Rattus norvegicus: one gene and its partner. The protein of the gene in region 1 purifies or fractionates together with the protein of each later gene. This does not show direct contact. Links are inferred from orthologs where the notes say so. Each region holds a gene or a part of one and is shown on either strand. Other genes may lie near its edges. The genes, in order: Atf2 and Atf1.

Evidence for each region.
Region 2: the proteins of Atf2 (region 1) and Atf1 purify together in Homo sapiens (affinity purification with mass spectrometry; 3 studies listed by BioGRID and IntAct, with this or other methods). This does not show direct contact. The link is inferred for Rattus norvegicus from reciprocal best matches to the Homo sapiens genes ATF2 and ATF1.

The regions. Positions count from the first base shown.
Region 1 is NC_086021.1:79,133,146-79,136,964, forward strand, and holds part of Atf2 (cyclic AMP-dependent transcription factor ATF-2), read right to left. Parts: intron 467-3,819; coding exon 361-466; intron 1-360. UniProt on the Homo sapiens protein: Transcriptional activator which regulates the transcription of various genes, including those involved in anti-apoptosis, cell growth, and DNA damage response.
Region 2 is NC_086025.1:133,239,238-133,243,156, forward strand, and holds the start of Atf1 (cyclic AMP-dependent transcription factor ATF-1), read left to right. Parts: upstream 1-1,536; 5' UTR 1,537-1,796; intron 1,797-3,919.

The DNA of each region.
Region 1 (3,819 bases):
GATAGTATATGGTTGGATGAAGATAGTTGATTTAAAAAATTCTCATTAGTACTAAATGGGGGCGGGAAAAGAAAAACTGTTTGGCTCTGTTAATCCAAGACAAAGTGTTATCCTGTGATGGTAAATAATCACTGACAGCAAACAGTGTACTTAAAAATGTTTAGCTAACCTAGGGGAAAAAGGTAGAAGTAGGAAAACTTTTCTTCCTATCCCAGACTATAATAACCCTGCAGAAATTCTGATACTTAATCTTAAGTACTAGAACTGCAGCTTGCACTGTTTTTCTGGTCGCTCTGCTCCTCACTCTGGCCGTCTGTCACTGATGTAGCCTACAGCTGTAGGTAATGGAACATTACTCACTATGATAGCCAGACTTCTTCTGCATGGCGGTTACAGGGCAATCTTTATGAGCCAGAAGAAGCTGTTTCAGCTGTGCCACTTCATTTCTCAGCAGGGTGACTTCGCTCTGGAGAAGAAACAACTCATATGCCTTACCAGCATTAGACAGAAACATATTTAAAGAAAGCAAGGTGTAAGGTATGAGAACTGGATCTCTTTGGCAGAACAATAAGGGACATATGCTGTTTAAATAAATTTAATCAGTATACAATGGTTTATGTTTTAGCATTTACATAAGTTTTTAAAAAACTAAAATCACACGAACGCCATAAGTGGGTAGCCTGGCTGTTTGCCATGGGAAGCATATGCACTATATTACTCACTGAAGGGCTTCACTCTACATGTATTATATGTTCTTTTGATTATTTGAAAACTTATAAACATCAGCAATCAGAATGAATTTTCATTGATTCCATTCACCTTTTAAAAATGAAAAAATTCATCCTGGAAATGTAATTATGCAAGTTTATACTTTAGAAAAAAGAAATTACACTTATTCAGGAATTATGGATCTTTATACGTACTACTGTTGAGCACTATGCCAGGCACCAGAACCAATGAAAGAGCATGCATTGTTAAATGCATTTGTTGCCTGTGATATATGCATCTAAATTTAAATGTTATACCAGTGGTGCCCTGTTTTATTCCTTACAACAGAATGACTATTTTAGCCTTTGTTTAGGATGCATTAATTTACAAAGTTCCACACCAAAATTTCAAATTGAATAAACCTAATTAGAAATTAATTAGAAATTAGTGATCACCAACACTCATGAGTTAATAAATAATATGGACTTAATAAATTACTAACATTAAAAAATTTACTATATTTTTTTCTCATTTAGATTTACATTAACTATAACTAATCTAGGTTTCATCCATCAACCCCATATTAATAAATGAGAATATTTAATAAACTGGTATACATAAAATTGCAAGCACATACGCCACTAACATCTCACTTTCTGAGACAGGGTATCAGTGTGTCCCAGGGTTGCCTCTAAACTGTAGCAATCCTCCTGCCCTAGGCCCAAGTGCTGGGATTATTTCAGTGTGCATCACCAAACCTAACCTCTATCTCTTAAACCAGAATGCCGAATGTGAAATATTTCTAGCAGATTAGTCTTTAGGCTCTCCTAAAAACAAAAACATGAGCAAACGTCAAGCAATCTAGAAATCAAGTGTGTGCAAATAGTTTTCTACAGCCCAACAATACTAACTACACTGTAGTAAAGCACAGAACTATGATAGCATATCCCTAAACAGTAAAAGGTTAAAGTATCCTTAGACTACTGTACTTCTGAATAGATGATAAGGGCTGGAGAGATGGCTTGGTAGTTAAGAGCACTGGCTGTTCTTTCAGAGGACAAGGGCTCTATTCTCAGCAACCCCATAGCAGCTCACAACTGTCTATAACCCCAAGTCCAGAGTGATCTAACACTCTCACATAGTATATTCAATTCAGGCACAACAACAAACCACATTAAAAAAAAAAAAGGTGGTTGTAGATTCCTTTCCAACAACCATGACTTCACTAGCTCCAAGCTAGGTTTCCAGCACCTCTTGGTCTGAGTGGGTATTAAGTCTTAAGTCCAATGAGAGAGCTGTTGGTTACTACCAAAGTATGCATGCCACTACTGCATCATCAGGGTTATTGTGTCATGCTATGCTTCATAGGTATCACAGCTGGGTAAGATTGTTGGTTACCTCCCTCCTTTGGAAAGATGCATGGCAACTTCTGATAGGAAAGCAAGTCTTCCTGGAAGGGACATTTGGTCAGTCCAAGCTGAGGGATCTCTGGGACCTACTTCTTCTTCTTCTTTTTGTTCCTATCTATCTATCTATCTATCTATCTATCTATCTATCTATCTATCTATCTATCTATCTATCTATCTTTATATGTACTCTGTAGCTGTCTTCCAACACACCAGAAGAGGGCATCAGATCCCATTACAGATGGTTGTGAGCCACTATATGGTTGCTGGGAATTGAACTCAGGAACTGAACTACTCTGTAAGAGTAGTCAGTGTTCTTAACCACTCATCCATCTCTCTAGCCCCTAAGCCCTACTTCCAGAGTGCATGGTAACTTAGCAATATAAACTTACCTTCTACCTCTGGGGGTTATCAAGGGCAACAGTAATAGACTATGTTTTGTGAGTCTCTTGGACAACAACTAAAAAGAGTATCACATGTCTGGTATTGGAGGCTTTGTTAGGTGGTCTTTGGTTCTTGGAAGAAATCTTCATCTGCCCAGATGAGAAAGGGTCATTAAAAGTGTATGTATATTCATACATGGATTATTACAAATTTTCAAATTATACTTTGAAAATAGTAGTATGACTCCTGGTGGCTTTTTCCATTCAGATGAAAAAAGTTTTATGTATATTCATACATGGAATATTATAGTTTTTAAGTTGTATTTTGAATCATAATAGTATGATTCCTTGTGGCTTTTTCAGACATCCATGTTATTTTACCCATTTCTCTCTTTTTTTTGTTTTTGTTTGTTTGTTTGTTTGTTTTTTTTTCGGAGCTGAGGACCGAACCCAGGGCCTTGTGCTTGCCAGGCAAGCGCTCTACCACTGAGCTAAATCCCCAACCCCACTTCTCTCTTTTTTGTACTGACCTTTCCACTTCCCCTATCAGACCACTTGTCTCCACCCCTTCTTCTGTATTAACCTCTCTGCCTCTCCTTGAGGAGCCCCTCCCTTTTCTATTTCCCTGATCAGACAGATCACCTGTACCCTACTAATCCCTTCTCTCATTCATAAAGTCTCAACAACATGATTTTATCCAAATGTGACTGAACAAGAATGACACCAATGAACATGCCAAACTGGACACTGGAGAGACCACAGTGCTGCAACCGCACACTGAGAACTACAGGTACCTGAGGTAAACTGGGAATGGGACAGGTGGTGCCCCCCAGGGAAGAATATACCAGTTGGTTGTCTAGTGTCAAAAAAGTCAGTCTCAAAGCATGCACACAGCATTATATAGACTCAACAGGTTATATTTAGTATGTGTGTGTGTGTGTGTGTGTGTGTGTGTGTGTGTGTGTGTATGAAGTAATAATTTGTTGAAACAAAAAACAAGGTCATGAATTTGAAGGAGAGTGGAAGGAGTATATTCTGAGTTTGGAGGGAGTAAAGGGGGAGAGATACGTATGTAAATTATAATTTCAAAAAACTTTTAAAAAGTTTTAAGAACAATAAAAAGATATATTTAATTCATTTAGCATGAGTATCTGATAATGTAAATAATAGTGATTGATATTTTAATTAGGTTTGGCAAAGAATAGTTTTCATGGTCTACATGTACATCAGTGTATGTATAATGTTTCATTTTTACTTAAAAGAGAAATGAAATCTACTCTAAGAAACTATTTTTTAGTAAATTCATTTGTCAGGATAATGAT
Region 2 (3,919 bases), on another chromosome or scaffold:
GAATGGGAAGAGTTCAGAGCAGGGAGACAAAATAACAGACTGACCTGAGCCGTGACAGGGGGCAGAGCAAGCAGCGAGAGAGGAAGAGAGTAGGGAAGAGAAGAGGCAGAGAGCCAAAGAGAGCTGGTCAAACTGGCAGGTTTTCATAAGAATCAGAAGCTGGGGGAAGGGAATTGAAGCTCCTCGGCCTGGGATTTAGGGTAGGGGGTTGGTGTGCGCATGAGAAGAGCAGATTGTGAGCCTGGCTGTCAGTGTGTGCTTTGGCATGCTAATAGAGACCACAGTTGGCCATTTGTCCTGGGCTTCTTGGGGACCTGACAACCACCATTTCTAATTCCAACTCCAGGGAAACCTGTGCATGTACCATCCCCCCTCTATCTTTCAAATAATATATTTAAAAGCAAACTTTTTTTTTTTTTTTTTTTTTTTTTTTTGGGAGCTGGGGACCTAACCCAGGGCCTTGCGCTTGCTAGGCAAGCACTCTACCGCTGAGCTAAATCCCCAACCCCTAAAAAGCTAACTCTTGAAAGGAAGGATGAATGTATAGAAGGGTTTGGAGGGAGGAATATAAACTCAAAATAAATTTTTTAAAAGTACTATGGGTTACGGAATGACTGCTGCTGGACTTTGTTGTTCAGGAAAGGCTGTTATAGGCCACTTTCTATAATGTTGAGACATTGACTTAGTATTGTAATTTCCAGGTTTTTTTTAGAGATTTATTAATTTATTATATATAAATTTAACCCAATTGGGAACATCTTTTTAAAAGATTTATTTTATTTATAGATGATTGCAAGCCACCATGTGGTTGCTGTAATTTCCAGTTTTTTGAGAGGCTTTCTTTGTGTTGCTTTGCCTAGAACTTCCTATGAAGAGACAGTCCTGTGTCTGCCAACACAGAGTGCAAGGGTTAGAGGAACGGATGACCGTGCCTGGCAATTTCCATAAATTTGATACTGACTCGAGAGGTTGGGTAATTAACCTAATCGATCAAAAACCGAGTACTTCTAATTTATGGGTAGTCATCAGTTTTAGCTTTATTGGGCAAGATTTGCTGAATCACAGTGCATGGATTCTAGTAAGTCCTTCTAACGCTTCAGTTTAAAATCACATCATGTGTTCTAAAGGGTCAAACCCAAAGTTTTCACTCGCCCAGTTATTAGGAGGGGAGATGTCAAATACAACTTCGGAAAACTTTTGGTATGCACTTTGTAGAGAGTATGCTTGAAACAGAAACAAAAACGCTGCGATGCCCTAGCAGAACACTGCAAAGGACCAGATAAAGCCTTCAGGATGAAGGTCAACTTCCCCAGAAGGGCAAGCTAAGTCTTTTCCAAAGCATTAAGATGGCAGCATAAGGTTTTATAGATAAACAGAGCAGGTAGCGAGCCCCAGGAGTCCTCTCACGAGACTCTCGCAACTCCTGCAGCACCCCGCGCCCGCCCGCGCGCTCCGGGGCTCGCCAAGATGGCGGCGCCCACGTGAGCACGCGGTGACGCAGCACGCCGGCCCGCGCAGGCCCCGCCCTCCCCACGCTCCCGCGCACTCCTCGGCCCCCCTCCCCAGCCCCCGGCCTGTGCGGATCATGCCGCCAGCGACGCCCCTCGCGGCCGGGAAACGGTAGCCGGGACGGTTGGCTCTTAAGTTACGACGTTCTTTTTCCGCGCCCCGCCGACCGCAGGGACCGGCGCCACCCCGCCGCGGTGCGCGGCTGGCAAGTGAGGAGTGAGGTCGGCGCCGCCTGGGACGGGGGAGTGGAGCTTCCCGCCCCGGGCAGCGGCCAGGAGGCTTCGCGGGTGAGCGGGACGCGGCGGGGCGCGGGGCGGCCCGGGCGGGAACGTGACGCTGGTGGGGACGCAATGGCGGCCACGCGCCGGCCGGGGGTCGCGCGCGGCGCGGCGGTGGGGGAGGGGCGCCGGGGGGTGGGACCGGCCGCGCGCTTCCGGCCGCGCGCCTTCGTGCGCCCGGGCGTTGGGCTCCGCTCGCCCGGGGCGTCCTGTAAGCGGAGCCACGCGTCCCGCTGCGCTCCTTCGGCCCGCGCGGCATGGAGGCGGGAAGAGCCGGGCGGCGGCCTCCAGCAGGCTGCAGGCGCCGCGGCCTCGGGCTCCCGCCTCCATGACTGGGGAACCGAGGCAACACGCCCGGGTGGTGGGGCACGATGGTCCTCTCTCCTTCCGGGAGTCTCGCAGCTGGCCGCCTAGGTTGTGGTAGAAACTTAACTCAAAAGTCTCGGTAGCCGCCTTTTCCTTTTGAGAAGGGATTTATTCCTACGACTTCTAGACGTGGTCGCCGTGCCCAGTTTATGGTAGCCTTTTCAGTTTTGCCTACCCAACTGGCCTTTAATTTTTTTTTTTTATGTAGTGCAGGGTGGCCTCGAACACGGCTTATGTTAGTTTTTCTAGCGATTTATTTACCGCTGGGTATGGTAGCACATACCTTTAATACCAGCTCTTCGGGAGGCAGAAGCGGGTCGAGCTGTCTCTGAGATCTACAGAGCGAGTTACAAGCCTGCCAGTTCAACCGTGAGACCTCATTGTTTTTATTGACGGGTATGTGTGTCTGCTTAAGTTTATGTGCACCACGTGCCTGTAGGTGCCTGAAGACGCCAGAGGGTGTCTGATCTTCTGGAACTGGAGTTAGCGGTTGTTGGGAGTGCCAGGAACTGGCCCCTATGTTCTGTGGAAGAGCAGTGAGGGTTCCTAATCGCTGAGCCATTCTCTCCAGCCCAACCTTAGCTTTTGAGGTTTTTACTCGTTTGGGCCACTTACTCGGTGTAGCTCAGTTTTGCTTAGAACTTCCAGCAGTCCCGCCGTGAAATGCTTTGGGCCACAAGTCTTCAAGGGCCTTTTGAGGTCTGAGGCCATTTCAGTATAGAAGTAAAAATGGCCTCATCTGTGATAACAGTTTGTCTAGTATTTTTTTTTTTTTCGGAGCTGGGGACCGAACCCAGGGCCTTGCGCTTGCTAGGCAAGTGCTCTACCACTGAGCTAAATCCCCAACCCCAGTTTGTCTAGCATTTATGTTCACAAAATGCATTTATGCTAAAGATTTATGCCAATACATATTTTGAAATGGCAGTCATCTCCTCCCCCCCTTTACAGTATACAATTACAGTCTTATCTCCAGTAGAGTGTAGCTAAGCAGGAGAGTGTTTGCCTAGCACACCTCATACTCAGTACTTGGAAACAAGACAGGAAGCTCTGGGTGCCCTAAAGTTAAATGTGGCAGCTTCTAAATAGTTAGTTCTCCCTCATCATTTGCTTTGATAGGACTTGGGTGGTATGCATCACCAGTAGATGGTAGTCAAGTCAAACACAGAAGCTGGCATGGTCTCACTGAACTCCAGCTGTGACTCCTGTGCCTTAGATGGCTCCCCGTGAGTACAGCTGGGGCGGATCTCTGAGGTTACCTACCGCCTCAGCTGAAGTTATCAGTTTTAGTTGGACACGTAAGGAAGCACGTGGTGGTTTTAGTCTCAGTTTTAACTGTTTGTTAATTGGTACCCTGTAGGGAAGGGATGTGCTGATTGGCTTCCTGGACCTTACATTCTGGTGGGGAGACAGAAAAACAAGACATTACTGTAGTTAGGTGCCTTAAAAAGGGAAAATGTACGAGGGTATACGGCCAGTCTAGAGGCCATCAGGTAGGTTTACCTGGAAGAATAGATGAGAAGTGAGCCTCACAAGGAGGACGACTGTAGCATGAATGAGAGCTTCGTGTGAGAAGCAGCCAGGCACATTTGAGCATCTGAGATTACCTGTGACCACTAGAGTGTGTGTGTGTGTGGGGGGGTGGGTTCGGGTCCCCTGTCCCCAAACTTACCACCGCTCAACACCGATTTCTAGGAAGGGCACTAAGACCCCTTTTACTCGCATGTCTGCTGAGGAGTCTGTACTTGATAATCACCATTGACTCAGGA